Nothobranchius furzeri: one gene and its partners. The protein of the gene in region 3 binds, or shares a complex with, the protein of the main gene of each other region. Links are inferred from orthologs where the notes say so. Each region holds a gene or a part of one and is shown on either strand. Other genes may lie near its edges.

The links.
Region 1: the proteins of sf3b3 (region 3) and ddx42 are in contact, whole or in part, in a cryo-EM structure (PDB 7EVN), measured with the Homo sapiens proteins. The link is inferred for Nothobranchius furzeri from reciprocal best matches to the Homo sapiens genes SF3B3 and DDX42. Residues at the interface, in NP_036558.3 of Homo sapiens: Glu159, Ala160, His161, Tyr211, His219, Val220, Val221, Arg222, Lys223; in NP_031398.2 of Homo sapiens: Lys145, Gly146, Ile147, Arg148, Asp149, Asp150.
Region 2: sf3b3 (region 3) and sf3a2 share a complex: the UniProt entries of both Homo sapiens proteins name them as parts of the 17S U2 SnRNP complex. The link is inferred for Nothobranchius furzeri from reciprocal best matches to the Homo sapiens genes SF3B3 and SF3A2.

The regions. Positions count from the first base shown.
Region 1 is NC_091745.1:10,015,160-10,026,245, reverse strand, and holds the start of ddx42 (ATP-dependent RNA helicase DDX42), read right to left. Parts: upstream 5,757-11,086; 5' UTR 5,660-5,756; intron 2,374-5,659; 5' UTR 2,367-2,373; coding exon 2,155-2,366; intron 2,065-2,154; coding exon 1,914-2,064; intron 1,802-1,913; coding exon 1,746-1,801; intron 1,443-1,745; coding exon 1,406-1,442; intron 1,217-1,405; coding exon 1,064-1,216; intron 943-1,063; coding exon 838-942; intron 734-837; coding exon 614-733; intron 537-613; coding exon 360-536; intron 273-359; coding exon 144-272; intron 44-143; coding exon 1-43. Other genes in the region: strada (STE20-related kinase adapter protein alpha), read left to right, coding at 7,016-7,027, 7,422-7,479, 9,062-9,090, 10,309-10,411, 10,548-10,669, 10,812-10,920, 11,000-11,086. UniProt on the Homo sapiens protein: ATP-dependent RNA helicase that binds to partially double-stranded RNAs (dsRNAs) in order to unwind RNA secondary structures. Unwinding is promoted in the presence of single-strand binding proteins.
Region 2 is NC_091751.1:56,889,403-56,900,476, reverse strand, and holds sf3a2 (splicing factor 3A subunit 2), read right to left. Parts: upstream 7,427-11,074; 5' UTR 7,338-7,426; intron 6,599-7,337; 5' UTR 6,576-6,598; coding exon 6,378-6,575; intron 6,284-6,377; coding exon 6,237-6,283; intron 6,116-6,236; coding exon 6,006-6,115; intron 5,917-6,005; coding exon 5,867-5,916; intron 5,556-5,866; coding exon 5,415-5,555; intron 5,338-5,414; coding exon 5,269-5,337; intron 5,191-5,268; coding exon 4,939-5,190; 3' UTR 4,712-4,938; downstream 1-4,711. Other genes in the region: AP-2 complex subunit mu-A, read right to left, coding at 2,095-2,168; plekhj1 (pleckstrin homology domain-containing family J member 1), read left to right, coding at 9,784-9,877, 10,079-10,146, 10,221-10,287, 10,375-10,465. UniProt on the Homo sapiens protein: Component of the 17S U2 SnRNP complex of the spliceosome, a large ribonucleoprotein complex that removes introns from transcribed pre-mRNAs.
Region 3 is NC_091744.1:81,753,744-81,764,729, forward strand, and holds the end of sf3b3 (splicing factor 3B subunit 3), read right to left. Parts: intron 3,263-10,986; coding exon 3,119-3,262; intron 3,023-3,118; coding exon 2,918-3,022; intron 1,382-2,917; coding exon 1,241-1,381; 3' UTR 1,220-1,240; downstream 1-1,219. UniProt on the Homo sapiens protein: Component of the 17S U2 SnRNP complex of the spliceosome, a large ribonucleoprotein complex that removes introns from transcribed pre-mRNAs.

The DNA of each region.
Region 1 (11,086 bases), on a different chromosome or scaffold from region 3:
GCAAGGATGTAGCCTTCTTCTTAACATGGTCAATCAGGCGTCCCTGGGTAATAAGAATCAGAAAGAGGGGATTTTTTTACTTTCTGCTACAAAATACAAAGGATTTTGTTTAAAATGATAAAAGAAAAGCTGGTGTTACTTACTGGTGTGCACACAACAATTTCTGCTCCATCCTGCAAAGCCTTGGCCTGTTCCCACATACTGCCTCCTCCATAGACGGCCACAGAACGCAATGAGTAGGCTTTCCCAAAACGCTTACATTCTGCATGAATCTAGTAGTGAAAAATGAAAGATTCAATACAGAAAAAAAATTCCTCAACACGGTTGAATAATAGAGCCACAAATCTGAAGTTCCTTACCTGCTGACAGAGCTCTCTAGTGGGACACACAATGACTGCTATAGGCCCCTCTCCAGGTTCCAGCTCCTTCTGGTCCATGATGTGAACCAGCATGGGCCAGATGAAAGCAGCGGTTTTCCCGCTGCCCGTTTTGGCAATGCCAATCATGTCACGTCCAGACAGAGCAATAGGAACACCCTAATCAGAACAAGATTCGGGTTTATCAAACTTTACTTTCAACCACAAAGAAGTCTCGGTACGATCTGAAACTGTACCTGACACTGAATCGGCGTAGGCTGAGTATATTCAGACTTTCTAATTTGGTGCATCAGCTGCTCATCAAAGCCAAAGTGGGCGAAACTGGTGCAAGGTTTCGGAGGGGCGGCGCCGGATACCTGAAAGAAAAAAACAAACAAACCCACATTAGTCCAGACTGCATTTACTTTGTTTTCTAATTAGTTTAATTTATAAACAAGCATGAAAATAACAACCGACTTACTCTCAAGTTGAGTTTGTGCCGCAAGTCCAACACCTGAGTCCCAGTGAGGCAACCGAGCTCCTCGTGCTCGTTGTAAAAGTTTTTCTCAAATGGTGGATAGTCAATCTATGAAACAAAAGACCAGAGAACAGGTTTAAAAACCACAACTAAACTGTTTACTTTACACAGAATCAAAACACAAAGGGCTGTTTGGTTATCTGCTCTTGACTGCTGTTGTCAGCTTTACCTCAGAGTGGTCAATAGGAGGAAGTGGCATGATGATTTTCTTGGTCGCAGAAGGAATTGGATTTCCATCGCTATCATAGTCAATAATGTCTTCTTCTTCTTCTTGGGTGAGCCCAGCGGTGGGATTCTCTGCCATGTAGCGGAAGTAGGCTTCCTGTGGAGGATACAACATTTGAAGTTAGATGACAAATAGATACGCATTCATCGCAATTTTCCTCATTTGATGACGGATTAAAAAAAATCGTCCAACCACAAAAATAGTCCTAAATGCAACCGAGAGATGATGCTTTGTAAGATCAGAGGGAAAACGACTCTGATTAATAACTGTGGAGGGCTCACTCACTTGTTCATCTTCTTCTTCAATGTCATCACGAACACCCCTGGAAAAACAAGCGGAGAAAAAAAAAACTTCCCTGCAACTCGTTCGTACACCAAACACAACCAACAACCCAAAAACAACTTTAGGGCGCTAAATCTGCTTACCAGCTTATAATAACTCAGGTGCATGGCTCTTTTGTGACAGCAGAGGGAGCAACTCTAAAGGCTGCTCATGCTAAGCTAATGAAACTCCAACTAAGACTAAATTAGCTCACATTAGTGCGATTCGTAAAAAAATATGCGTGTAATGGTTGGGCTTTTGAACAGATTATTGGAGACCAAAATAAACAAATTAAGAGTCTTACTTGGACAACTTTTTCTCCTTTTCCTCGAGTTTCCTCATGTCTTTGGCTGCTTGGTCCTAAGCAAAAAAGAAAGATCTGTTAAAGATACATTGCTGTAAGCTTCTGTGTAACACCTGCTTTAATTTTATTCGTAGTGCACAAATGGAACAGCGGCTACAATTTTCGCACCTCAACTTCTGCCATGAAGGCATCCAAGGGGTCATCTTCGCTATCAGAGCCACCACCTGACTTCATCTGCTGCCGTGTGGGGGAGTTCTCAGCTGGAATGTACGGAAGATCCACGTTGCTGCTGGACTCCTCTTCATCGTCTTCAAAATACCTGGTCAAACATGAAAAATACAAATTTCATTACTACATTAAACAGGTCCAGAGATAACTGACACATTTATCACCGACAGTTGGCACTCACGCATTTTCCTCATCAAAATTAGCTCTTTTTGTCCCTATTTTATAGAATGATGGGAGCTGCTGGTTGTTCCCGTATCCTCCACTTGATCCTGGAGCTCCAAATGTTGTGTGAGTCTTCTGAGGAAGTTGAGGTTCCTCTTTCTTCCCTGCAAGGGAAAAACCTCCAAACCCAAACCCTCGCTTGACACCTGGGCCACCCTTGTTCCAGTTCATGGCTGAGCTGTGGGGGAAAAGACAAACGTAAATGTCCCTTCACTTACAAAACCCTTCTGAATTCATACATGAATAATGTTAAAATTGTCAACTTTGGTCAACAGTAATAAAAACAAGGAGCAGATGGAGAGGGTCTGCAACCTGCAGCTCTGGGGCCTCATATCGTTTAGTTCAGTGGTTCCCAAACTTATTTAGCCGCGCACCCCCTTCTATGTCCCGACCATGTCGACACCCCCCAGCCCCACATCAGGGCATCTCTCTCTCTCTCTCTCTCTCTCTCTCTCTCTCTCTCTCTCTCTCTCTCTCTCTCTCTCTCTCTCTCTCTCTCTCTCTCTCTCTCTCTCTCTCTCTCTCTCTCTCTCTCTCTCTCTCTCTCTCTCTCTCTCTCTCTCTCTCTCTCTCTCTCTCTCTCTCTCTCTCTCTCTCTCTCTCTCTCTCTCTCTCTCTCTCTCTCTCTCTCTCTCTCTCTCTCTCTCTCTCTCTCTCTCTCTCTCTCTCTCTCTCTCTCTCTCTCTCTCTCTCTCTCTCTCTCTCTCTCTCTCTCTCTCTCTCTCTCTCTCTCTCTCTCTCTCTCTCTCTCTCTCTCTCTCTCTCTCTCTATCAGATGTCAAGCTAAGCTGACAGGGTTAAAAAAAAATTCCCCATCACTTTCATTTTTTAAATAGTAATTAATAAACATTCGATACCATTACAATTTCCTTTGATTTCATTTTAAATAAATATTTAGAGTGCCCAGGTAGCACATAAACAATGCAATTTAACGGTTTTCTTAAAGTAGGAACGTTTAACCTGTGCGGCCAGAGCGCTCTCCTTCCTTCTGCTCTGCATAAACCTGAGCTGATCACCTACTTATGCGTAATCAAATGTCTATAGGGGACAAGATATAGCCATGATGTTCACTTTTACCTCAGACCGACTTATTGCTGTTTTATGGTGTGGCTGAATCTGCGATCCGCTGTCATGCTGACTGGAATAACAAATGCTGCAGTAAAAGGACTTGTGGTCAGGTTCATGAGGAGTCACTGGCTGGAGCGGACCCGACTCATCCCAGAAGCTAATATCTTAATTTGACCTTGAATGAAAAATAACCTCTTAAAAGTTTTTATCACGGTGGAGGCAGCGTTCATTTCTGCCTTCAGTCTGACGGCGCGCCGGAGTTAAAGCAGCGTGCGCGCTTATTGAATCTGTGTGTGTGTGCGCGCGCGGCACAGCCGCTCAAGTCACCGCGCCTCGTTATTGGCGCTATAAACCAATGTTGTAAAATTACTTCTGCCCAGCCCAGATGTGCTCACATGTGCACCCGTGAGCCGTGGTTCCGCTGGAACGCGTCTGACTTCTGACAGACGCACTCTGAACTTCAGATCTTCAGCGCGCTGTCAATAGCCTGAATGGGAATCATTTCCACAATGTTCTGTGTGTGAGGTTTACAATGTCAGAACACCTGCATGAGACAGGTGTTAATTACAATCTGCCAGAATGACTCGCCACCTTCAGATTTCTCCAACACCGTTAAAAATGATCAAATACGGAACATATCGGCGTGCGCAGGCCAGAGTGCTGAAGCTCGACGCATTCTTATTATGAAGCTAGGGCACATGCGGAGGACACACGCGCGCGCGACGGAACATATCGGCGTGTGCAGGCCAGAGTGCTGAAGCTCGGCGCATTGTTATTATGAAGCTAGGGCACATGTGAAGGACACGCGCGCGCAAAAATATACTTGTTTTCAATGACATTTATTGGGCCCACTTACTTTTTCTTCGGCCCACCCACAAATGAATTTCTACGCTAATGGTGACACATGACAGACTTCTCTGAGCTCCGCAGCCATTACACTTTTCACCTCGCGCACCCCCTAGCGGCAGCTCGCGCACCCCCGGGGGTGCGCGCACCACACTTTGGGAATCCCTGGTTTAGTTCATCTGCCCCTCGGAGGAGACTTCTGGTATCTTTGACCAAGAATCACTTCAAGCTGATGGTTTTATTTAAACCAAAATCGTAGTTTAAGCCAGAGGCTGACTAATATGGTTTTTAAGGCCGATACCGATTTGTAAAGAATTTTGTTGTAGATGGCCGATATCTGAAGCAGATTATTAAGGCCTATATATATAGGCCTAATATATATATATATATATATATATTATATATAATATATGTGTATGTGTATATATATAATATCATATATATATATATATATATATATATATATATATATATACATATATATATATATGTTTTAGCAGCACATTGATTGTGAAAGACAACTGAATAGTCAATGTGTGCAATATTAATTAATAGCCAATAAATCTCTCAATATATATTTCATTTGAAATATTTTAAAAAACCTAAAAAAACTGTGTTGGGGTTCGTTGGGTCCTTTCTTTAGTCTAGAAGTGGCGGCAGTTGGCCACACAGACGGCCTTAATAAGGCCACAGGTGGCCGTCTTAATTTCTAGAAAAAACTTGAATTTTTATCAAATGCTGGAAGTATAGCATGTAATCTGTATAACATTTATGTTTACAAGACAGGGAATCAAACAGATTTGTTTTGAGCATATGTTCGCATGTAAATCACCATGGGTGCAAGGGTGCAAAAAATATTGAAACTCACCTAAAATGTGCTTAATTTTGATTTTGGCTTGATCGCCGCTTAGCAGTGCAAAAAGTGTAAAGCTTTGAACAAAATCTAGTCATCTAAAAACATTTTTTGGCCAATCACGTTTATATATATATAAAGTAAAAATGACACATAGTAACTTAGTAGAATTAAAGACTAAACGTTAACGATTGGGTTTTAGTGGTTGTTTAGTAAGTCAGATAAAGACTACACAAACCGTGGCTCTAATTCACTCTGCCAGTAAATCAATAACATTCAGATTCATAAACAACAACTGGCACCAATTTAATATTTAAAAGAGAGTTTCATGTAAAATAACGTATTTTCACCACTCGTTCAACCGGGAAAACGAATCGAAACGACTCGTCGTTTGTAATACCATTACATATTAAAGTCCAAAGATGACAAAACGTTGTGTTAATTTCCTTTCTGACAGAAAACCAGCGCGAATAAATAACTTTCGGGATCTACTAAATCTGCTTAACACGAACAGAATGTTAGCATTAGCTGAAGGCCGCGCTAAGGCCGAGGTGTATGTGCGTAGAAACACTCGATGTTGACGCAAGTCTCTCATTCTTCTGGTACGTCTGTAAAAAGTGGCTGTATAGTGTAACAATGTTTAACAACAAAAGATAAGAATTTTTATGAAAACAGCCATTAGTGTACATTTGTTTACCTTCTTTTGAATGTAGTAAATAAAGCTCCTGTGGCGCTAGCATACGCAGTGGTGAATGCGTCATCAACACGCGCGGACGCTCCGTGGGCGTGTCGTCGTCCGTGCGCGACAGAGAACGTTGAGTTGAAGAGAATGGCTCGATAAATAAGGTTTCATAAATTTTGTATTAGATCGTTGTTTTTCACATGAAATAGGTAAGTATTTATACTGTTTAAACAACGCTGTATATGTTTGTTGAAATACGCGCCGACAGCTGCAGCAGCTGACGGTGGTTTGTTGTTGCTAGCCAGTTCCACGGCGAGCTAAAACTGACTCAACAATACCTGTAATGGTTTTGTGTTTTAATGGTGAGCTTTTATAAGAAGCATTTGCTTAAATATAGGGAATTATTCCAGATATCTGTGCTGCTGTTTAACGTATTGCAAGACATAGAATGGAAATGGGTTTATGCTGACAATTGTTGAATTTTTGTCCTAAATAATAATAATAAATTACAAATTGTTGGAATAATCTTTCTGTCAAAGTGCGTAACGATTTCATCCTCATTAAGAGGTGTAAAGTAGGGGTTCACTGATTTATCGGCCCTGATCTTGGGTATTTTTCAAGATTGTTTATCGGCCAAAAACTGCAATTGGCGCACCCCTAGTTAGTGTTAAAGCAAATAATTCCTATTTTTTGGGACGATTGTGTCAAAACAGGTACAAAAGTTTTGTATTTAAAATTATAAAAATGAAAGTCTAAAGGAACAAATGTGATTTTGTAGTTCAAACAGTAATGTTAAATATGTTCATTAATATTTGATATAAAAATAATGATTTTCTCAATAAAAGGAAATTGAAACTTTGACGTAATCTGCTTAAAGTTAAGACAACATTGGTATCGGTATTGCAAGTCAGGTTTTTCCTCAAGATCGGCCAAAAACTGCAATCAGTGCACCCCTAGTGTAAAGTATTCATCCACTGTGTTTTTATTAAGTTTTCTGTAAACTTAAAATACTGACTCAGCAGTTCAGGTAAACAGATCACTCTTTATGTTACAGAAACAACTAAAATCTATCAGGGATATTAAAACAGGTCAAACTAGCTTCATCCTGTTCAGAGAAAACCCATGATAAATGACGAATTCAGCTTGGATGTTCTCAGGAGCCCTAAATATAAAAAATACAGCATTTTGATCGTACACAAGTCTGAAAACATTTTTATTGGACAAAACTAAATGCAGAAATACATATTAATGATAGTGAAACAGAAATCTGTAGTTAAATGTGGAAAAAAGCAGAAAAAGATCCTCGTCATAGATTTTTCTTTTATTTTTACAGATTTTTCAGCATCGCATGTAACAAACTCAAGTGGATCGATGTCTTTTCTTGTAAGTGTTTGCTGAGTCATTCCACACACACCGGCCCACAGGGCTGCTAGCCCAGAACACGATTAACTTTCATCAACTTTATGGAATTGTTACCAAAGATTTCCAGTAAATTTAATCAGTTCCCGAAGAAAGATTTTATTTACACAATGTTATTTAATGTTAAAGTTTATACAATACAAACATATTTTTATTTGTTTTAATTATATTTTTGTGGCTTTTTTCCTATATAAGAAGATACAAGAATCTTGCTCATCTGTAAATTAAGTTCTCATCATTAACACCTGCAGTCACCAACAAGAAATACTTTCTCTTTGTGTTGCTCTAAAATATTTTCTTACTCTTGCTTGCATTTCTCTCTTTTTCATGCTTGTTATTAACCCTCTGTGTCTGTCAGCGTTGGGTATCTGAGAAATTGAGTGTGGAGAGCCTGCGGGATTTGGAGTTATTTGGAGGTGAGGTTCAAGTTTTTAACGGGGTGTTTTAGCATGCTCAGTTACTTCCGGCAATAGCTTTTATTTCCCTTGAGGAGACAAAAAAACAAACAATCCAGTTGGTGTGCGCTATCCTTTGAGTGCTCGCTGTGCTCTGCTTTCAGATGCCATCATAAATGTATCGCTCATCATTCTTGTCTAACCTGTCTTGGTCTGCATCGTGCCATTATTTCTGTTCGTCTCAATGTTCGATCAGAGAATTTTAAACAAAAATCACCTGCTAATTAAAATCTTGTGCATGCTTGTTTAGGAGAGAAGGTAAGGAAAACATTAAAGGAATATATAGAATTATTAGAAGGTTGCTCTCATTTTACAGGTGAAGTTTAGTTTGAATTAAATTTAATAATTTTATATTCAGAATTGTTGTTCTCTTTCTTCGGATGTTCAAATCTCTGCCATTGGTGCAGTCACAGAATATTTTTAGAGACTAAAAGTACATTTTTAAAGAACCAGAAGCGCATTTTTTTTAAAAACAGCGATCTAAAAACCATATTTCACCCGGTGTCTTTAAGTCTACCTGTTGAGCTTATTTGATAATTATTATGATTTGCTAAGTTAAGGTACACAGATGGCTAATTTATGATATCTAAGTCCAGAGGAAACTGTTTCCTGGTTAATGCGTGTTGTTGTTTCTTCACTGAGAAACAATTTTTACTTATTATTTTTTTAAAAGATCGGCCACTGAGATTTTCATGCAGGCTGAACATGAAAATAGTCTCCTACACCTAACTCCTGCTTTAGCTTCTGATAGAAAATCGATGGTGAAACTCCAGGATTAGAAAATCCTGACAGATCTACGTCACGCTGTCACTTAACACTCATGGACTCACCCATCTCGACTCACGACGAGGAAGGCTGTTGTTGGTTTAGCGTCCAGGAGAGAGCAGAGAATGCCTCGGCCACCACACAGCAGAACTCCGCCAGGCTTGTGTTTTTAGTACAGATAAAACATCAACACTGGTAAGCAAACAGTCTGTGGTAGAGCTGCGTTGCTGTTAGCCAATCAGAGGCGAGACGTCCAAATAACTGGAAATAAGACTCCAAAATCCTGTTTTCTGAAGTTACTTTTGGTGATATTATTTAGGTAAACAGTGTTATTATTATTATTATTATTATTACTTTACAGAAGGCTTTCAGTATTGTGCAAACTTTAGTTTTCTCATTTTTTTGTTATTCCATTTGTAAAATTCCCTGGTTTTCATCTTTGTTATGTTTGCAGGCCGTTGGTAACTCGTGCACGTTTGTGCAGCTTCGGTTTTGGCTGTGCTCACTTTCTGTTGCCTGGCTCTTTAAAGGACTTGCGGAGTAGCTGCTATAAATCAGACTTTCTACAGACTGGTGTCCTTAATGGTAACATGACCCTGCTGCTCTGTGTGTGGCCACATGAACAACAAAGCTGCTTGTCGTGACAAATGCCACAACGCTAACCCTGACATCCAGAGACAGAGCCTACCAGCTCTAAAAGCCCCTCTCAACGCAGACCCTTCTCTTGTTGTCGTTGTTTACGTGTTTTTGTGTCATTGACTTGGTTTTTCTGCCCCAGAGCAAGCTCAGGGACTCTCACACAGGAAAGTAAGTGTGGTACTCCTGTCACTGCATCGTCATCCTCACGTGCCTTTTGTGTCTGTGCATGCATGCACTTATACCGTATGTATGTGCACACTAGGATTTCTATATGGAGAAATCTACAGCCCTCCCAAGGCTTTGCACATGTATGTATGCATGAGTGCCCAGCACATGACACATGCTGCTGCACATGCTTGTATAGCTGGGCCTTTTGGTCACTCACGGTAGCGCCTGCTGCTTATTCAAGTTGTTATTCCTCACAGAGAAAATAAAACTAATTTGTCATGTGAGTTAAACGTGTTGCTAACACATGCTGTGCTCCATGCAGCCGCTCCGTTTGGGGTTTGGATGTTTTTTGGAGCTCCACTGAAAGTTTCGACCCTTTTGGTGTCGATGAAATGTTCTGTATTTGCTGTGTTTTTCTGTGTAATGACTGGCAAGCAGACAGCGTTCCTGCAGCCTGTAGATCAGTGGAGTTCGTGGTGGAAGGCCCTGGTGATTCAGATACTCTCGAATCAGCGGCTGTCTCGGCATGCTTGGCCTCTCTGCTGTGACGGTTATAATGTTAACTTTGAGTGGGGGGGGTGCATAAAGCCAAAATATCTAAATGAACATTCACTGGAATCATCAGCACGTGGAACAAGCTTTGGTTTTACCCGCAAAGGTGAAGTTGGCTCTTTTCATGCTGTAGGCTTCTTCTCATTTTGGTCGCCTTGGAAACAACTCAAGCAATCATTCATTTGCCTTCATTTGCCCCCACAGCTCGCCGCTGCGGTTGGTTAATTTCCATCACTTTAGTGATAACGTGATGGAATTCAGGAGTCCTCACTGCCAACAGTTTTACCGTTTCCTGTCACATTTTTTAGGATGAGTAAAATCATTTGTCGTTGACGAGTTGAGCACAAGCTTCACGTTTCTTTTTAATAAAACATTAGTTTGTTTTTTTTTTTAATAGAAAAATCACAATTTTCTCTGTGTTTCACTAATGTTGTGCCTTTCTGAGGCTCTGGGCTACTCTTCACTGTTTAGCAGGACTTTTAACCTGATCACTGAATCGTTTTGGACCAGCAGTTAGTTTTCCTGATATTTATCATTTCACAGATGATTTGGGTTTCATTAACGCTGTGGTATTACGTCAGGCTGCTGTTTTAGTGACTGACCCAGGAAGCCCTTTTTTGAGAGCGTCGGGACATCATTTGGCTATTTCTTCCTCTCCTCCTCCAGGCTCATGAGGACAGTCAGGAGAGTCTGACCTCTCTGCCTCATCCAGACAGCATGGGCAGCTTCCTCCCTGACAGCAGCTCCTATGAGCTCCTCACAGTTATTGGTAATTGCACACTGAGGCACGAGCAACACGTTTTTACTTTCCTTTAAAAAGCAGCCGGATCTGTGCCACCAACAATTCACTATGAACTTTATCATTTAGAATTTAAACCTAAACAAAGTCAGTGTGTGTTTTGAAGGGAAGGGCTTGGACGATTTGATGACGGTGAATATGGCTCGATACAAACCCACCGGGGAACACGTGGCCATTCGGCGGATCGACTTGGAGTCGTGCACTAATGACATGGTGACCTATCTGCAGGTCTGCATCATTACTGGATCCTATGGGTCTCTTCCTCTGCTTTCCTGGGAACTCCTTCTCTTCTGTCTGTATTGCACAACTTCTTCTGACTTCTGTCGGGTTACCGTTTTCTAAGATGCATTTCTCTCTTTTTTCCCACTAGGGGGAACTCCACGTGTCAAAGTTGTTCCATCACTCTAGCATTCTACCATACAAGAGCGTCTTCATAGCTGAAAATGAGCTGTGGGTGATCACACCATTCATGGCGTACGGTAAGGAAACGGCTGGGATGTAACGGAAGCATCTTGTGTGAATGGAGGGTGACTTGTGTGATTATGTTTCACCTCACAGGATCGGCTAGAGACCTTATCTGCACACATTTTACAGACGGTATGAGTGAACTGACCATTGCATACATCCTGCTAGGGATGCTCAAAG
Region 2 (11,074 bases), on a different chromosome or scaffold from region 3:
GACCTGATTACCTCCTGTGTATGAAAACGTTTTCAAAAGGCCACCTTTACAAGTAAAACCTCAAACTATACCAAAGATTTCCGAGAGAAAATGGAATTATCAGATCCCATGCTCAGACTCCATGCTGGGATACCAGAACAGCTGATTTAGCAACAATATTTCCTGCTGACATTAACTGAAAATAAATTCTTAGATCTGAGTTAATCTGCTGCATTTCAGTACAAAGCCATTTATTTACTGCTGTAAGGACTCATGCTTACAGGAACTGCTGGGTATTTGACCAAGGCATGCGGTTTAAGGTTCATGGGGTGACTGATCTGAGGCCATGAGAAAGGGGGAGAGGGGGTCATGCTTTAAACGCTGCAGCAGCTCTTACCTATTCCTACATGGGCCAAGATGAAACAGATGGGAGAGGTGATAGAGATAGGAGAAAAGGGATGAGGTAAACAGAAAGGAGAGACAAAAATGTACAATTGACATTTTTGTGCATTATGTAGACAGAGTGAGTAACGTGGTGTTTATTATTAGGGTGCTATTTTCACAATTAGGTACAGGAGGGAAAGGGCAAACAGCTTCAGACTGATAAAAACATGCTAGTTAATTTACACACAATTACAGAGGCATGAGGAATTTAATGCAGCGGTCAAGGAGCAAACCTAAAACATCTGGTTTGTGTTACACTGCTGCTGCAGCCAGGGGGACGAATACCTACGAAAACTACTGAAGCAACATCAATAAGCTATGAAATTCATGGATTCACACAACTATGCTTTTTCCAGCATAATGCAATGAAAATAAAATGAGCGGGTGTTTTAATTTTCTTTTCTTTTTTGGGTTCAGTGGAATTTTGTACAACACACAGTGGTGAAAGCACACACACGAGCAGATGTTTATTCTGGGAAAGCAAGGTGGAAATTCTACTTAGATCATATCCATAACACGTTGCACAAGAGCAGTGCAGACCTTACATTTGCCCTAACACAGCAATGCCTTTTTGTAAAATGAATGAAATTAAAAAAAAGTGAGTGGCTACATTTTTCCATCTATTGCTGCTCAGCACTGGTTGTGATGACTCAGCTCCGTTTTTAAACCACATTTCAGAATAAGTATCCAGCATGGGTTTCATTACATGTTTTAACCTTTCATAATAAAATTTTTAATGCAGGAGTTCAAGTCTTTCCTTTGAGGACCCCATAGCCCATGTCCAAGACAAGCCAGGACCCCAACCCCAACATGCATTACACATTAATGTGATCATTTACAAACTTTTATATGGAGTTCTGATTATACTGTAGGGTGTGTTACCATGATTTTCTAAATGTAATTTTTTTTTTTTTACAAATAAAATCTTGCCAACCTCAGCTAAGAAAATGCCCAGTAATCTTATTGGGACACCTTGGGGGCCCAGACCCCCAATTTGGGAACCCCTGCTCTAATGAACTCAGACATTTAAAAGAGCAAAGGTGAACAAATTAATTAAATTTACCACAGATGCAGCAATAAGATATTCTGCTCACAGACACGCCTCTTTTCGTTTAGTGTAAATGATTACAGCAGAAATAATTATTTATATATTTTGCTAACAAAGTAAAATATTAACCATAGCATTGTATAAAATAATGCATTCAATATTAATCATCAATACAGAAAGGTCTATTTTGCATTAAACAGTTTGACTTACAAGAGTGAGAAAATCACAAGTGTAGTCAAGTGTATTTGCAAACACAAATGTATTGAGGCAAAAAAAAAAAAAAGAAGAAAAGGAACACATTTTAGCAAATAAATTACTTGGTCAGAAGAAGAAAATGATAATTCAAATACTATCCCACCATGAGGAAACTGGCAGTGAAGCCAATTTGAATTTGAGCATTCCACACAGCTGCGTCTAATCTTTTAATTTGAAGGTGTGGTTTATGATAAGCACAAGGGAAGCAAATCATTGCCTCAGACAATAAAATTGTGTTGTTTCTTTGCAGAAACATGCCAAACACTAATTTAGCTAAACAGAAACCCATAATAATCCTCTCATCCAGAATCAAACCTAAACAGTCCACCCACAAGATTATCATCGCACATAATGTCTGAGAAACATACCCTATGTCATCTCGGTAGACGCGGGAGATGAGAACCTCTCCCTTGTGGTTGTAGATGAACAATCCTCCAATCATTGTGAATGCTTCTCAATCCCAACTTGCCATGATGAAACCAAACCCCTCCTGAGGATAAAAAAAAAGATTGAAATTTGGGAAGGAAAAGGGGAGATAGGAAAGTAAAAGCAGTGTAAAGTAAAAGTCACCCACAGTACAGAGAGGCACTTGTCCCTCGCATCCGTTTTCCTGTTTCTCTCACTCACACACTCTCTTGCAGCTGCACTACACCATTAGTGACTTTATTAAATCACTCATTTGCATAGCTGCACCAGCTTTTTAGGCAGCTTCACCTCTCTCTTTCTCACACACACACACACACACACACACACACACACACACACACACACACACACACACACACACACACTTCCAAATAAGATTAACAGATTAGCAGCAGCCACCGGTTTGGGGTAGGATGCTACCAGATAAAGATATAAATCTGAGATCATCATAGTCCGCTAAACCCTACCTAGACCTGGTAGGACTAACATCCGAAATGTACCATTTTTATCCCCGTGGGGATGTAAGTTTTTTTTAATTAAGTGTATTTTACTAATAAAACTGCCAGTTTAAAAAATGCTGCTTCTAGAAAATTTAGGATGGAAAAAGGACATCCATGGCATTCCTAGAAGGCATAACTGAAACACTTTTATAGAGAGTGTTGAGAATTTTCTTAAACAAATTACTACTAGCAGTCGTGACCGATTAAACCCTGCACCAAACCTGAATCGTACATTTATCGGTTTAGTCAAGATGTCTGCTCACTCGGGCCATTTACCAATGTTCATACATTTTATATATTTTTCTACCATCGATGTATAATCTTTTCCCTGTATGGTTTGTTTAAAACGTTATTTAAATGTATTAGCTCGGTTCAAAATTTGACCTTCAGTATGATCAAAGTGATGGAGAATACCCTGAAGACAGCGATGGCTAGCTAATTTAGCAGGCTAGCTGCCGACGATCCTCAGCGAGCCGAGCGGATTTTTAACGGGCTTCCGGTGGGTAGAAAAACTGAGGTTATCGCGTGTGTTACAGCAAGTTACAGTGACTTACGTGTAAACGATATGAATTACATAACAAACCAACTAAAACAGCATCAAAATGTTATGTGATGGCACGTTTTAAGCTTTGAAGGAATCTTAAAGCATGCTTTCCGTTATCATCAAGCTAACCGCGGCTAGCTTGACGTTAACTAGCCGCGGTTAGCTGAGGAGTTGCTAATGTTAGCGTCGTCAACGAAAGAGAGCGCTCACCTGTTTTCTCTGGCGGTTTACAGATCACAGTAAATCGTTTTTACTGCAAAAATACATGACTGAATCTCCGTTTCGTTAACTTACTCTTGTTCTTTCACGAACACCACCACTCTTTGGCTTCCAGGCTAGCCTTTGGGTGTATTTTATGTCCAACAGAATCCCTGCTCACAGCCGCAAATTCCGCTTCTTCCTTCCCCCGGTCCGCTGATGCCTGTCAGCTGACCCGCCGTCTTTACGAACGACTGTTCCGTTGTGACAGGAAAAGGCGTGGCTGGTGCGATGTGTAAACCGCACCCAGGCCTTGAAATGATAAGCCACGCAGGCTAATATTCGTTAATTGTCTGGTATTTTACAATTATATAGGTCAGCCTCCTTTACAAAAAATATATCAGAACATGTCAAAATATATTGACAAAATATGAGGTACGGACGCTGTCAGAATAAAAAAAAACGTAGTCAGGTTAAACTGTGCGCATATTGTTAAATAGATGTGCCTAACTAGAAACATAATTTCATCCCCCACTTGTGATTAAATGGGGCAAATGCTGTAAACGACTCTAGAGCGCCCCCCGTTGGTTACTCGTGTAAGGCAGAAAATCTACTGCAAACATGAGCTACAAAAATCGTGATTAACGATTCTTACAAATAGATTGTATGAAACATTATACAAATTCTGCTAAATACATAAACATAAATTCAGTTTGTCACATCTCCGAGGTGAAATGCCCAAACAAAGGCTCCAAACTGGGCCAGTGGCAGCGAAGGGTAAGGCGAACACTTTTGCAATGCCATGGAGCATCTTCGAAAGTCTTCTGCCAGAGAAAGCAATGCTGATGGATATCTTCAGAGGTCTTCATTGCAGCAGACTGGAGTGTCCACAGACACAGGACAAAGAAACTCTTGAATGATATTTGGCGTGGAGCACATCAAATTTTTTTGAGAATGTTCTCTAATCCATAGTTTGTGATTACCAACAGTCCTCAAAAGGTTTCCAATTGGGGTCATGGTCACCCCTGGAAACTTGGGTCACAAAAAAATAAAACATCTGTGTGTTCAGCAGAAGTTCATAAAATTAAAACATTTTATTTTAAAAAGATTTTATGAGTACATACACTGAATACATAGTCTGAATAATTGATACCAAAATGAAAACTGCTGTTAAAATATAATTCAAACTGATTTAGGCAGTGTTGAAGATCAATTTAAATACAGAAAAATCAATTTTGTTGATTTGTTTTATTTTAACCTGATCAGAGTAAACTTCAGATAATTCTCTGTATTTTTTGTAGAACAAACACTCAGGTATTTTCAGTATTTGTGTATTTTAATTAAAAAATGGACATAAGAAATAAAAATGTGTCCAGATATTAGTTTACAAGAGGACGATAATGTTTCCATAACATTTAGCTTTAGAATTTTATTTTTAGGCAAACAAAGTTATGAAAATCTACTGAAGATATCCAACATCCTAAAAATACAAAACAGGCAGAGCAGAACAACTGACCACCAATGCAATTTCTAACAGCAAATTATCACTGCATAAGGCCCTCTGGGGGAGGTGGCCTCATTGGCATGGGGGGCATGGGCATTTGTGGGGGCATTTGGGGGGGACCTGGTGCCCCGGGTGGCAGAGGAGGAACAGACATCCCTCCTGGTGGTGGAGGTGGAAGACCGTCGTTTGATGGGTGGCCACTCATAAGTGAAGCGGGGTGCTTTAAGTTGCCAGGAGGAGCTGGACCACCAGAAATGGCTTTCTCCATTTTAAAGTGGAACTGCAGGAAAAACTGAACGAAAACAAAACATTCATACATTAGAAAATTTTTTAAATTAGTTTTTTAGTAAAAACAAAGCAGAGTCAGTACCTGTTTAGTTTCCCTGTTCCAGTGAGTCCAGAAGCGGTTTTCTGCTTTATCAATTTCCCTGCTGGGGACCTTAAAGGAGCAAACATTTTAATGTTACGGAAATGTGACACATGAGCACAATGACAAAAATTACAGTTTTCATCCACCTTAAAGGAAATAGTTTCATATGGTTCAGCAGCAAACAGCAGGTACTGCCAGCGACGGTCAGGAGGCTCGATACGCTGCTCATAAGCAGACATGAAACGGTGCCTGGGTCCAATTCCTTCAGCAACCTCTGGATAGTCGATCTGATTAATATGGGAAATAAAAACAACTTGTCAGATGTTGTAACATCTGGTTATTATTGCCCTGATAGGAACTATAGGAGTTTGTTTTGTATCTGCAACGCATCTTCAAGTGGTGTCCACAATGGGGTCATACAATGGGAGCAAAACTGTTATATTGGGCTGGAAAATAATTAAAGTGGAGCTAAACATATGATGGCATTTAACTTTGGTTTCACACGAACAATAAAGCATAAAGCCTATTATCAAGTGTCTCAGATTCCCAGAAACACAGCAGGATTTTTCCAGAATTAAAATATATTTTTTATTTTCACCTGAAAAAGTAAAGACTGCTGACCAGTCTCTGGGTCCCTCTGTTTTGTCACTGTGAAAAAAAGAGAAAGACGAGGATCAAAAGTTGTTACAAAAAGCCAAATAATGTTGATCTAATATAGAACCATGCAGCCAGTGTACCTTTGTATCCTGGTCGACCGATTTTGACAAACTTCTTGACCTCAACTTTAACCTTTGCTGGAGCTGGTTGAGCCGGCGCTTCTTTTGCCTCTTTGGCTGCTCTTCGTGCTCTAAAACACCAAATAGAAAAGATTTAACTCAGAAAGAAAAAATTATACAGGAAAATGTTTACTGACAAATATTGAACTAGTAGCAATTAATTGTGTTAGAGAATGTTTTAGGTTGACTTACAAATTGGTCTGATGCTTCTTTCCCTGTGTGTGAGCCAAGTAGCTGCCCTAAAATCAAGTAGAGGGTTTTCTTTAGAAACACAATTCCCAAATATCAAAAATTCTAACATAGCCCAATCCAATCCGTTAAGTGCCTCCTCACCTCATTGTTGTGAAGTGTCAAACAAAGTTTGCATTCATAAGAACCTAAATGATTCTTCATAAAATAGGGGTCCTTGTTGATGTCGATGGTCTCTAGAGCCAGCTGACGTAACCGTTCACGCCTGTCCCGGTTACTCTCAGAGGCAGACGCCACCCCTCCACTTCCAGTCTTCCCTCCAGCTCGATGCTGGAAATCCATTTTTTTGAAGTGATGAACTCAGTCTAAAGACAACATAAACATATAGCATCAAAGGGACAGACCAAACATAATGTATCGTGTATTTCTTCAAATAAACACAAAACAAAAAACAGAAAAAGCCAGTTCAGTTAAAACTGAACCCCTGGTGTTTTATTTTTACCATCCCTATAAAACTGAGAAACATATGCTATTTCAAATGTAGAAAACATTCACAACTATAAGTACTGTACAAAGCAGTATGCACGTAGTAACACTATCATAAATATAAATTCAACAACTTTCATATAATTGCTGATAAAATGGTAACGCTATGTGTTACAGCAGCCAGAATGAATATCTGAGCGGCACAGTTCCTTAAATGTAGTATTAATAGTGAACATTAGTCAGGACTGTATATGTATGTATGCGTGTATGTGTTAAATCTATAACTCAAATCATAAAGACTTTCTTCCCGACACCCCTTTCATCAATTTATCAATTTGTCATGATTCTAGGTTGAAACGTCTTAATTTTTAATAACATAACTAGAAAATCCCTATATTGAACTATCCTTTCGCGCACATTTTACTGTTAGCATTTAGCATCGATGGACGTCGTTCTGACAATGCTAACAGTGCTACCATATATGCAAGGATAGTTTTAAACCTACCAAAATGAACAAACTATCAGAATGAAATTAAATATAGCCTAATCAATGTTTTAGCGTTACTGCTCAGCGAACTGCACAACAAAATACTAGCTAAATATTATAAATAAACTTACGTTCTCCCAAACAAATCTAACGACAAACTGTGATGGACAGAATTGTTTTGCGCATGCGTGTTGGTTCTCAGCTTAAGCAGTTCATAAATAGTTTCAAACATTCATTGCCATCTAGTGGTCAGGAGTAAAACTGACCGACGAACAAACGTTTGCGGATAAAAGCATATAATAAAGACCTAAGAGATTAGTTTATTTAGGAGTAAAGGGCTACATTTAAAATGTGAAAAATAAATTAAAAAAACGATATGAAACATTTGCATTTTTGTTTATTTATTTAATATGTTCTCTTTAATTTTGGATCAATTGTTTGTATTATTTCTTTTGCTATGGTTTTGTTTCCCAACTTTTATTGATTTTGTTGCTTTCACTTTTAGGGTCTGGATTTAAACTAATTGTAGATTTAGACAAGGTGTTGGACCGCATCTCTCGGGGGACCCTGTGGGGGTACTTTGGGAGTATGGGGTACCAGGCCCTCTGATAGGGGCTGTAAGGTCCCTATATGACTGGTGTCAGTGCTTGGTCCGCATTGCCAGCAGTAGGCCGGGTTCGTTTCCGGTGAGAGGTTGACTCTGCCAAGGCTGCCCTTTGTCACCAATTCTATTCATAACTTTTATGGAGAATTTCGAGGCACAGCCAAAGTGTTGAAGGCATTCATTTTGGTGGCCTAAGGATGGGGTCTCTGCTTTTTGCAGATGACATGGTCCTGATGGCTTCATCAGAACGTGATCTCCGTCTCTCACTGGAGCAGTTCACAAACGAATGTGAAGCAGCTGGGATGAGCATCAGCTCCTCTAAATCCGAGACTATGGTCCTGAGTCAGAAAAGGGTAGAATGCCTTCTCTGGGTCCAGGGATGAGATCCTGCCCCAAGTGGAGGAGTTTATACATCTCAGGGTCTTGTTCACGAGTGAGGGAAAGATGGCGAGTGAGATTTACAGGTGGGATGAGATCGTGTCTGCAGTAATGCGGACGTTGTACCGATCTGTCGTAGTGAAGAGAGAGCTGAGCCAGAAGGCGAAGCTCTCGATTTACCGGCCGATCTATGTTCCTACCCTCACCTTTAGTCATGAGCTTTGGGTAGTGACCAAAAGAACGAGATTGCAGATACAAGAAGCCAAAATTAGTTTTCTCTGCAGGGTTTCTGGGCTCTCACTTAGAGATAGGGTGAGAAGTTCAGTCATCCGGAGGGGCTCGGTGTAGAGGAGCCAGTTGAGGTGGCTCAGGCATCTGATTAGGATGCCTCCTAGATGCCTCCATGGTGAGGTTTTCTGAGCATGTCCAACCTGGAGGAGACCTAAAGAAGACCCAGGACATGTTGGAGGGACTATGTCACACGAATGGCAAGGGAACGCCTTGGGATTCCCCTGGAGGAGCTGGCCCAACCTGGGGAGGGCCTCTTAGCTTAGGCTGCTGCCCCCACAAGCTGACTCCATATAAGCAGAAGAAAACAGATGGATGCTTTTGCTTTGTCAATTTTGCTAAACCCATTTTTCACTACACTTAGCTCTCATGGAGCACGAGCTTTGAATTTGATGAGCTAGTATCAGCAGTTTAAACAGGCATAAAACCAACCAGTTCAACATTTGGTGTTATTCCAGTTATTTAATTTAACAAGGAATCTTTTCAATACTCTTTTCTCCCAATCATGGATTTTTAAATCAATGTGCTTCATTTTAAGTCTTGCAATATTATTTTGCGAATCAATTTTTATACTGCAACGTTTTGTCGTGGCATAGTAGTACTTTTCAGTTAAGAAAAAGAAGAACATAACCTGAACAGAGTGATGTTTGATTTTTTTCTAAAATGTAATAATTATTTTCATTTTAAAATACTTCAGGAAATATTTTGCTATATGTGCCACGGTTTAACAAAAGAAAATAGTAAGTCCTGTAAGAAAATAAAGTAATTTATAATTCAATGTTTATAAAACAATAGGAAAAACTAGAAAAATTATTTTGTAGTTGCAGGGCACGGGACAAAAACTACCTCAAGTAATGAGTAAATGTTTATTGTTCAGTCAGAAGCACTCAAACATATATTTAATGTATTTGAGGAACATAAAGTTTTAATATTAATCAGTGAACGTTTATAAAGTTATCTATCCAGACATCATGCAACTCCTCGCTCTTACGAGCCATTTAAGCGTTAGCCCACTAGGTGGCGAAAGCGTATTTCTATTTGGTTTAACAAGCACCGTTAAACTCTCCACTAGAAGAAGAACCGATCAGCGTTTCCTGTTTGTTTAGCAGATGCCGTTCACTTGACTTTACTTCACCCTGGAAATAACCAAACACTCTCCATCACGTTTTCAGGACATCGGATAAAGAATCAGAATAAGTCGACATGATAAACAACGAAACTACTGCATTTATATTATTATTTTAACTCTATTTGAAATGTTTTGGTCGTAGAGACTAGCAAAGGTGTCCCCCCTCCCATTTTACGCGATGCGTTTCAACGAGAGGGAGCTGGTCTCTCTGAGCCGCCAGCCTTCAGAGATGGCCGCTGAAATGGGAATGCGAGGTCCGAAGAAAGGAGACGGTAAGACCTGTTACTTTCTCCGTCACTTTTCACTTCCGCTTGGTGTTATTTTGGGTCATATCGGTGAAACTGATCATCTCTCTCTCTCTCTCTCTCTCTCTCTCTCTCTCTCTCTCTCTCTCTCTCTCTCTCTCTCTCTCTCTCTCTCTCTCTCTCTCTCTCTGTGTGTGTACGTGTACGCGCGTGCGTGTGTGTTTTCAGTTGTCAAGAGGCGGCTGGTGAAACTCGTAGTTAACTTCCTTTTTTACTTCCGGACAGATGAGGAGGAGGTTAGATGAGTTTTTTTTCTCTGTCCCTGATGATGAGCTGTAACATTTTAATGAGTTCAGTGTTTATTTTTCAGCCAATTGGAGCCTTGTTGTTGGAGCAGTGCCGGGTGGAGAAAGAGGACAGTCAGACCTTCTCTATTAGTGAGCCCCAGACTCCCTTTCTGTGTTGATTTCTTACAGGCTGATTGGCGGTGACATTTTGTTAATGTTGTGTTTGTCTCTCTGTAGCATTTCTAGATGAAACTGAGAAAAAATACGTGTTTGAGTGCAACTCCGAGGAGCAATGTAAGGAGTGGATAGACTCTATTATTAAAGCAAGGTAAAACAGACTTTTTAATTTTCCTTTTTGCTGTGATCTGCTGTTTAAAGAGCAAGTCACCCCCTACCAAAGTATTACTCCACTCCCACTTCCTGTTTGGTCAAATGCAACAAATGCTGTTGCCTAGCAGACTGAGAGGGCGGGGCCACTAACAAATCCACACACACACGCACACGCACACACACACAGGCTCACAACGACATTGTGACATCATATGGTACCAGCTAACGTTTTAAGGTACCTCTTAGCCAATAGGGATGGCAGATTTAAATTCAAATGCAGTGCTGAGTTTTTACCTGACAATGGCACAACACTGACAGTTTTAGGCAGAAAATTAAAATTTTAAATAAAGTGCTAAACTATTGACTACACGTGTCTGCAGCACAATTAAACGCACATTTAGTTTATCAGAAAAAATAAGTTGATTTGGGAGTGACTTGCTCTTTAAGATCAGTCCAGACTTATCTGACCTCAAGTGTACAGAGTAAAATACAGTTAGATGTTCACACTGTTGTTTTACACGTATTTTAAGTTAGGATCAACAGTCGTCTGTGAACTTATTATATAATATTGGTTCTTAAACCAAAAAAACTGTTTAATGTATCTTGT
Region 3 (10,986 bases):
TCCAGAGAAGTCGGTTTGTTCCGTCACCAACTCCAAAAAAGTAACTCATCTGATCCCATTTCATTGTCTGAAGTGACCTTTTGACCCTTAAACACAAGTTTTATAGAAATTTCCCTCCAAAAGTGGCTCAGCTGGTTGGTAAAGCGTGGTTTGGTCCTCAGATTTTATTCAAACAGGGGCTGTGCAGTGGTTAGAGCTGTTGCCTTGCAGCGAGAAGGTCCTGGGTTCGATTCCCGGCCTGGGATCTTTCTGCATGGAGTTGGCATGTTCTCCCTGTGCATGCGTGGGTTCTCTCCAGGTACTCTGGCTTCCTCCCAGTCCAAAAACATGACTGTTAGGTTGACTGGTCAGTCCAAATTGTCCTTAGGTGTGTGTGCACGATTGTTTGTCCTGTGTGTCTCGGTGTTGCCCTGCGATGGACTGGCTCTGTCCAGGGTGTACCCCGCCTACTTGCCCGTTGACTGCTGGAGATGGGCACCACTCTCACTAATGGCTTCGACGTCAAGGCCTTCAGTAACAGAAGTTACTTGTTCTGTGGGGGTTTGACATTTCCCCAGTACTTTGCAGACGATCATCAGTTTCTGGAAAACACTTCCTGATGTCTAATGGATGTAATGAGTTCCACACACAGACGAGAACATCAACAGGTTTTTTTTTAAAAACAACTTTATTTACAAAAACAGACCTCTGTCTCGTCCCACAAACCCCAAGTCCAGTGATTTAGTGGAATGCCATCTGTGGCCGAGGTTGGGACTTTACTCACCGATGGGAATGCTGCCCACTTGGTCTGAGTTTCTTCCTCCTTGTCTAATGACCCCGCCGGGCTTCCGTTGGCCCCAGCAGGTGGAGGTGAGGAGAGACGTCACCTCCACCTGCTAGAATAATGTTTCTGTATTCTAACTGATAACTGTTGAACATAATCACAACATAGAAAACCTGTTTTATTAAACGATGAAAAACAAACTAATATTTACATTTTTAAGCCTCGTTTCCCAGCAGCACCAAACTTTCCCACCAGATATCATCCAAATGATCTTGGTTGGCCGATGACAGACGGCTCGGGTCAGTATGAAAACCTGATGGTAAATTCTCTGTAATTACACCCGTAACCCGTGTGCCGTCTGTGTGGGAAGAGGAGGAAATTGTGCTGGTTAAACCGCAGAATCAGCTGACCGCTGCTGCTGCTGTGTGTGTGTGTGTGTGTGTGTGTGTGTGTGTGTGTGTGTGTGTGTGTGTGTGGTTAGAAGGCGTAGCGAGTACGAATGTCCTCCAGCTTCTTAGAAACTTCTGGAGGGGTCCGGTCCAGCTCCTCAGCCACACTCTTCTGTTTGTGTGGATCCATGCTGTTAAACTGCTCACAGAGATCTCCGTCGATCACGTTCTGTAAAAAGAAAAATCCTTGAGAGTTCAGTTCTACGGTCCCGGTCCTGACCTCTACATCACCCTTGTCCCAGAGGGATATCTGGTTTGCCGTAGTGTACAATAGGGTTGTCACGGTGTGAAAATTTACTTCACGGTTATTGTGACCAAAATGATCACGGTTTTCGGTATTTTTTAAACGTGTTACATTTTCAGACAACTAGATAAACCCTGTATATCAGGAAAATGTTGTCCTCAGTTTGTGTCTAAATTTAGCCTAAAACGGGTTACTTTGAAATTATGTTGTTTATTTACATTTTTTCCCTTTAGTCTTTAAAATACAATATTTGCCCATAACTTCTTATTTTTTGTCTGTTTGATGTCATCATTTAAAAATATTAGATCAGATGATACTCAGTACTCAAGTAGTCTTCTAATCCGATACTTTTTTTTACCCTTACTTGAGTAATAAACCCTATATCAGGAAAATATTGTCCTCGGTTTGTGTCCTTCCAGTGAGCTTTGCAGATGTGGGAAAATGTCATCAGGCAGTAATCGTTGTTAAATTCATAATTATTCTCGGAGAGAGACCAACTCTTATCTGCCCCTGGGAGCCTCGTAATGCATAGCGTCATTTCAACATGGGGGTGTCCGCGACACGGTTTATATGCAGGTAGCGGCGCTGCGGCTGCTTTATATAGCGACTCGTTGCATTCTCCCTCAACCCAAATCCTCGGATCACACATTTTAGCTAAAACGCTAACGTTAGCTTGCCTTGCGTTGACTGTAGAGTTGTGGGTGATGGTCATGCAGATGTGTCATGAGATTTGAAGCGTTGCTGCCTTTCACAGACACTTTTTCTGCACGTGCTGCAAACAGGATAGCCGTCTTCTATCAGCTGTCCCTCGGCATTCTTCAAATAACCAAAAAAAATGCCTGTACTTCCCACTTTGTCTTCTTTGAGGGATAATAAATGTCCTGAGCGCTGCCGTCTCCTCCTTTGGCCATTATTTCAGCTTTAGCTTCAAGAAAGTTTTGGTTGTAAACAACAAAGTGCACATGTGCCGCCAGCAACTTCAGCAGATGATACGGTGGCTGGTAAGGGTCACCGCGCCTACACCGCAGCCACGGTAACCCACCGAGATAATATAGTTTTTAAAAAACAAGACTGTTATTATTATTATCAACTTTTTTTACCGGGGTTTACCGCTACACCGGTTACCGTGACAACCCTAGTGTACACAATCACAAACGAAAAATAATCTCTAGATTATAAAGTGGTTCTGAAAGGTGAAACGCTTCAGCTCCAACCAGTCGGCTCCTAAAGGGCCGCTGGAGGTTCTGAAGCATCGCTCAGGTCTGATGGGTTCCTGCCCGGTTCTGATGCAGAGACCCAAAACCTCTTTTGTTCATTTACACCAACACACAGTCCATGGTCAACCAAAAGGACCATGAATAAAAAATGAACCAAAGTCTAAAAGATCCGGATGTAAATCCTGTTTGGAGTAAACGAGAATCGGGTCAGAAGTTTGATTCATCTTGAAATCAAAACACCAACCTTCACTGGGAAGTAGTAGGACCGGAAACTCAGATGATCTCTGCCACAAAGCGGAGGGAACTCTGAGCGCATGTGCATCTCCAAATGCTGGAAGAAGTCATGATCCTGGAGAAAAGGAGGGAGAGGGTTGGGAAGTTAGGAATGCTGACGAGTGGATGGAGGTGAATGATTTTGGATTGTTGAGAACAAAAGCCAGTTCACCTCGTGTGAGGTGAAGGGGACCAGAATGCCGATGCCTCCGGACAGCGTGGTGTAGACCAGAGACTCCGAGCCTCCGGGGATCAGAGTAGTTTTCTGCAGCGACAGCATGGTCTCTCCTACATGGTAGTTCATCACAACCTCAGCCTGCAGACACAGAAACCAGAGTTTGAGCTGCTGCAACCTGTGATTTTACCAGCTGGTTAAGGAGCCGACATGAAAACGGGTCGAAAGTGAAAAAGGTGAGCCCCCCAAGCATATTAAAGTGCCAGTGACTCGGGGCGTTTTGGATTTAAAAGCATCAAGCTGGTGAACTTTGTGGAAGAAAATAATCAAGCAGTTATTGAATAAACTAGAATGTAATTACAGGGTATATACAGCAATCCTTAAGTAAAATTTACTACTTTTTAATACTTTTTTTTACTACCTTCAGAATTTTTTTAAAACCATCACAACACTAAATTGCAAGTGTTAATCAGCGACCTATTTACACATATTTTAACATATATAACATACAAAAAGAATAGACTTAGAGACTCACTGATGTTGACAACGTATTGCACATATTTATTTTATTTAGAAAATAAGCCAGGCACTTCTGTTCAGCGGTTCAGACAGTTGAGCACGAGGCCTGAAATGATGCACAACGACCACTGAATATGACGTCATCATTATGTGACCGGATATGCTAAAGTAGGGCTGCTCGATGATGGCAAAAACAATAATCACGATTATTGTGACTGAAATTGAGATCTCGATTATTTAAGATGATTTTTCAATTTATGTAGATTTTTAAATTTTTTTTTATTCAGTCATAAAACTGCTCAGGGCACAATCAGGGCAAAAATAAACAAGAAACAAGATGATCACTAAATTAACTCCTGATTCCCAGTATAAAAAGACCAATATACTTATAGCTCATAGTTTATGACCCAAGGGCTGTAGACCTTGGTTTAACTCATTTAAGTCTAACCAGTACAGACCCAAATACCAATATCTTGCAAATACTGACAGCAAGAATTATACAGTGGCATTTATAACAAATAAATGCAAATTGCTGTTCACTAAATGTTGCATAACATTTATTGAGTCATGTCAAGGTGCTGTAGGAGCGTGCACTAGCACCGTGTCCTCAGAGAGATTAGTTATTTATCAGCGTGAGGAACTTATTTCTACCTTATTTATAAACTATTTATTTACAGGTCCATCAGTTAATGTAATAATTGTCTCAACCACAGCTGCACCCCCCACCGCCCAACCCGGTCTCACAGCAATCAGGGGCAAGATGTACATGCGTGTGTTTAGCGCGCCGCACGCGCACATTTAGCCGTTTTTATCGGCTCAGGAGTCCGCAGGTGCGGTGTGTGTGTCACTCACTCTGGTTACTCCAACAGGGAGCCGGCTCTGAGAGCTGTCTTTAGCGACTGACACATCACTACATCATTCCCTTTCCTAATGTCCTGAAGAACGGTCCGGAGTGCAGGCGGAGTGTTTAGCTAACCTGCAGGAAATGTCGACGACAGTTATCCAGAAAGTAGCTAAGGGTTACCAGAGATGTTTCTGAGGTGTTCCCTAGGTACTTTTAAGATTTAAAAAGTCAAAAAGGGGGTCTGAGAAGCTGTTAGAAATAGCATCAAAGTCGCTAAGTTAACTTGGCAACACTGGGAGGAGCGCTTCATTTGCATCTCAAGGCAGCGCAAGTGGGAGGAGCAAATTATCGGCTTGTTTTGTTTTTATAATCGTTCAAAACATTTCATTCGGAATATATTTCTATGTCGATGTTCAGAATACGACATCTGATAGTCTGAAAAAAATAATACCTAATTTGGAAAAAATAATACCTCTGAGACCAAATTTAACACTTTTAATGGCCTTAAATTTGACTATTTTTATTTATCACTTTTTAATACTTTTTAAAACCCCGCGGACACCCTGAATTAAGTATCTAAACATTTTCTTATTAAGCAGAAGAAATATGGCCAAACTCTGTACTGTATAAGGAGGGAGGGCAGACCTGGTCCTTGAAGCCGCAACGGCTGCATGTTTTCTACGTGTCCCTGCTCAGTCACACCCGAGTTGAGATTTTGGCTTTAACACAGAGCAGCAAAGTCTTCATTTACCTTCTGCTAACAAGTTTCTGCTCCTCTGAGAAGAGGACACGACTGAGACATGTTTAGCCACATGTCCCAGGGACGGACAGAGAGAGGACATCAGGTGATGGGGGTGTTGGTCTGGGGGTCTCCCACAGAAACACTTACGTGAGCAGATGTCATTTCCCACATTCTAGTGCTTTTTAACAGGTTATTTAATTACATTTAAATGATTGTTTTTAAATTAACAGCTTAAATCAATTATCACTGAAATATGATAAATAACAGGAAAAACACGTTGGGCACGATTGGTTCATCCGTTTGAACCCAATGGTCTCATATGAAATGTGACAAAGCACAAAGCAGGCTCTGCTGCTGAAAACACTAAAACCACAAAGAATCATAAACTTTTTATATTTAATAACAACAACACCAGCAGGAGGCTGTGGGCTGAATTAGGATTTAATGACAGCTAACCCCCCCCCCTCACTGACTAACCCTTCCACTACCTGTCCTTTGGGGACATTTTGACTTATCTCCTTATGTCCACTGTGTCTCTGAGGAGGAGATTATTAAAGCAAACAAGAAAAAAAACATCTAACTCAAAAGGCAAAGGTTTCCTCCCAATTTAACATCACGTCACCCTGGTAAAGTTCAGCAAGAACTCCTACAGGCTGACGCAGCAAAACTTTATTATTTCTCTTTGAAAAAAGAAAGAAGACGATCTTTTAAATAGCGCATCTCAAGATAATAATCACGAGGCGCTTCATAAAAAAACAGTTTTTTTAAAGATATCGGCCAGAGGAAAAATTCCTTTGAACGGCACGTGTACAGAAGTATTAAAACCTCAGATGAAAAAGGTTTTAGGATTTTTGCGGCTGGAATTTTAAGAAAATCTGATGTTTTTTACTGGCGCGGGAAAAACTGAAACTGACTTCCGGTCTAAGCCCTGGGCAGCTGGTGATGTTTCACAAGGCGCTCTGCTAAAACAGAGATAGTAAACAGCACCTGACTCTGGTGTTTCTGCGTTAGCGTTATAGCAGAGAACAACGTGCCATCAGTCAGATGTAGCTTCTGAAGCCTCTGCTAGCCGGTCAGATTTGGGTTTTTTTCCTCTGGGATACGGCAACGAGAACAGATGTTGGGTTACCAGAGACGTTAAACTGAACTCCGTGCCCTGCAGCTGGATATCAGAACCAGAGGTGCAGACATGCTTTGGACCATTTCATCCAGAAAACCCGCGGCCCGATTGGGACACCGGGGAGGATTCTGTTTGTCTTTGGAACCAAAATTGGTACAGTTTGTTAAAGTTTGTTAAATATTTCATGTCTGTGCTCCACCTGTAGCTTTCAGTTAAGTTCTCAGCTGATTAGCTCCATCATATTGTCCCAATATAATTCAAGTAGTGCTCGCTGCAGAACCACAAAGGCGGAGCTGCACCAGAGTCAGCCCCGCCCATTCCATCAGAGTCAGTCCAATTCCTTCCAGTTGTCAGACTTGACAGCATTCTGGAACCAAAGAGGGTGTTCTAGCTAATATCATCTAAAATGCAAGATTGAGGACGGAGTTGAGAGGTTAACTGAACAGTTTTTGTAAAGGTTCCATATAATTAAAAATCTAACTTTTGGAACTTTTTACCATGTTTTATTGTCATTTCCTCATAAGAAATACGCCAAAGCCATTTTTGGCCTCATTCATGCATTTTCCTCCCATCTCAGCTTCAGTTTGGTCTCCTCCTCCGAAGCGGGGCTGGTCTTGGTTCTCAAATCTGGATATTCTGTGAATTTTCTGACAAATTATTTCTGAAATGACTTCTACTGAGACACTGCCGGAAAAACCATACATCCCATCTCCAAGGACACTCTGGGTATAACAATTACATATGACGCCACTACCCTGTTATCAGATGTAGTGGTGAAGTGGTCATGGAGTCAGACTGGCGTGCAGTTTTGCGCAGGTTCGCCTACCAGTAGCGGCATCAACTTTTTATTCCTTTCTAGCTACACTTGCCAGTACTATATTTACAACCATTTATTGGTATACCGTTTACAATATAATGACTAATGTGTTTTTTTATTTATTTATTCGTTTATTTAGCCAGTGTGAGTCCATTTGTGAGCAGAGTTTCAACTAAAATGCTGTTTAGCAGGGTATATACAGCAATCCTTAAGTAAAATTTACTACTTTTTAATACTTTTTTTACTACCTTCAGAATTTTTTTAAAACCATCACAACACTAAATTGCAAATGTTAATCAGCGACCTATTTACACATTTTTTAACATATATAACATACAAAAAGAATAGACTTAAGAGACTCGCTGATGTTGACAACGTATTGCACATATTTATTTTACTTAGAAAATAAGCCAGGCACTTCTGTTCAGCGGTTCAGACAGTTGACCACGAGGCCTGAAATGATGCAGAACGACCACTGAATATGACGTCATCATTATGTGACCGGATATGCTAAAGTAGGGCTGCTCGATGATGGCAAAAACAATAATCACGATTATTGTGACTGAAATTGAGATCTCGATGATTTAAGACGATTTTTCAATTTATGTAGATTTTTTTATTTTGTTTTTATTCAGTCATAAAACTGCTCAGGGCACAATCAGGGCAAAAATAAACAAGAAACAAGATGATCACTATAATAACTCCTGATTCCCAGTATAAAAAGACCAATATACTTATAGCTCATAGTTTATGACCCAAGGGCTATAGACCTTGGTTTAACTCATTTAAGTCTAACCAGTACAGACCCAAATACCAATATCTTGCAAATACTGACAGCAAGAATTATACAGTGGCATTTATAACAAATAAATGCAAATAAATTGATGTTCACAAAATGTTGTATAACATTTATTTAGTCATGTCAAGGTGCTGTAGGAGAATACACCAGCACAGTGTCCTCAGAGAGATTAGTTATTTGTTATCAGCGTGAGGAACTTATTTCTACCTTATTTATGAACTATTTATTTACAAGTCCATCAGTTAATGTAATAATTGTCCCAACCACAGCTACACCCCCACCCCCAACCCGGTTTCACAGCAATCAGGGGCAAGATGTACATGCGTGTTTTTAGCGTGCCGCACGCGCACATTTAGCTGTTTTTAGAGGCTCAGGAGCCCGCAGGTGCGGTGTGTGTGTCACTCGCTCTGGTTACTCCAACAAGGAGCCGGCTCTGAGAGCTGTTTCTTTAGCGACTGACACATCACTGCATCATTCCCTTTCCTAATGTCCTGAAGAACGGTCCGGAGCGCAGGTGGAGTGTTTAGCTAACCTGCAGGAAATGACGACGACAGTTATCCAGAAAGTAGCTAAGGGTTACCAGAGATGTTTCTGAGGTGTTCGCTAGGTACTTTTAAGATTTAAAAAGTTAAGAAGGGGGTCTGAAAAGCTGCTAGAAATAGCGTCAAAGTCGCTAAGTTGGCAACACTGTCAGGAGGAGCGCTTCATTTCCAACTCAGGGCAGCGCAAGTGGGAGGAGCAAATAATCGGCTTGTTTTGTTTTTATAATCGTTCAAAACATTTCATTCGGAATATATTTCTATGTCGATGTTCAGAATACGACACCTGATAGTCTGAAAAATAATACCTAATTTGGAAAAAATAATACCTCTGAGACCAAATTTAACACTTTTAATGGCCTTAAATTTGACTATTTTTATTTATCACTTTTTAATACTTTTTAAAACCCCGCGGACACCCTGTTTAGGAACGACCAAATTCAAAGAACTTTTAGAGACATAAATATCTCGCAGAAAATAAACATTACAACTAAAATATAAACAAATTAAATGTTTCAGCTGACTAAATAGATTGCTGCCAACCCCACAGAGAGTCGAACCAGCATCAGCAGAGGGGAAAGCAAAACTTAAGTCAGACGGTCGTGCCATTGGACTACCAGAACCCATACGACAATAAGTCTTAAATGCTGTTGTACGGCGCTTTTGTTGGAGCGGCTGTGGGCAGATATTTTCTAAAAGAAACCTTTTCGTTTCTGGATATATTCAGGCTTTGTCATGTAGCGAGTTAGTTATCTTGTTTGATTGGAGCATAGAACATAGCATTAACGTAATTAGCGTGGGTCAGGTTAGTTTGCGATAAAGTTAAAAAACAAAAACAGAAGTCAGTGGGCTAGGCTGAGTTTGCGTGAATGGACGGGGCTGACTCTGGTGCAGCTCCGTCTTTGTAGTTCTGCAGCGAGCACCCTCTCATATAGCAAAAGACTCATTGCCCCGAAATGCAGAACTGACCGCCACAGGAAATCCTTTGTACCGGTGGCAATAGGACTGTTTAACTCTTCCTCACGCTGTAGGTGACTCTCCAAATACTATTACCTTGGTTATTCTGTGCCCTCACCGACTGTGCAATATTACCCAAGAGTTCTGATTGTAAATATGTTTTTATCCCCTCATCATATCATATGCTGCTACAAACCCATATTCTTTTACACAATACTTTAATCACTCTTGTGAATCGCCTGCACCGACGGCTTAATTACTTATTCACAAGGATGCAGTCATGTATTTAATTATTGAGATATGCGATTGTTTGTTTTGCACTATCCTACATGGTACTACTGTAGATCTCTTTTTTTAATGAATATATTGTATATCATATTTCTATTTCACCTGTTCCTTTGTCTCTCCGACTGCTTTGAGCATGTACATGACACAAGAATTTCCCTCGGGATAAATAAAGTTGTTCTTATTCTTATTATTATTCTTATAATTCAGGAATCTACAGATGAGTAAAATAACGTGGTGCCAGCTTACCGCTGTGTGTATTTATTGACATGACATCGGAAAATATTTAACCGATTGCTTACCAGAATAAATCTTCCTGATGCTAACGTGCTAGCTCGGATCGTTGTTGTTAGGGGACATTTGTAATGCAGCTTTTACCGTCACATATTATAAATAATTATAGTGGAGTAGTTACACAAGCCATATGTCCCACTTAGCCTGACCGAGGGTCAGGGTGGTCCCTTGAGAGTTGTTTGTGCTGATCAGCTCTTTTCCTTGAGTGGAAGACCGGACACACAAGGATGGGAGCAGAGCCGGATGAATAAACAGTCACTTCTTACATGCTTATCAAAGAATGTGCTGATGTGTGTGCTCTGTACTAAATAAAAGACGCTCGAAGGGGATGTGCTCTTAGAGATTTGTCGAACTCCACACTGGGTCGGTTTGTTCTTGGTTTTCACATTTCTCCCTCTGCAGAGTCAAATAAAATGTTTCAGTTTCCACCTGTGCTTGTGATTCACTCTAGGTAACCTGTGCAGCTAAAAATAACCCAACAGTTGTTTTCTAATCCAGGATGACACGGAGGTTCTACCGGTCCTATAGGAGGATCTGTTGTTGAAAAATGGGGATCATCTTTTAGATTATATCTGTGTGTGTGTGTGTGTGTGTGTGTGTGTGTGGTAGCTTTCACGAATTACTTGTTCTTTACCGGAGCTAACACGGTTAGTGCTGCAGCAGTCATGCTAACGGGACCCGCCTGCTGGAGTCCAGACGTACCGGTGCGGTTCTAAATGGATTTATAGATGTAGGTTATTATTTTAGATCAAACCTATGTTAGTTAGAAATACGTGTAGGACACGGATATATGGCTCAGACCTTTAGCTGCAGCCGTAAATGCAATTTTCTGTTTTAATTAGGAACACGACAGTAAACAAAGTACAGTGATTTACCATGCTAGCAACAGCAGCTACCTAGTATGACGTGTGTGAGTGACGTATGCAAAACACAGTTCTTCACTGTCTGG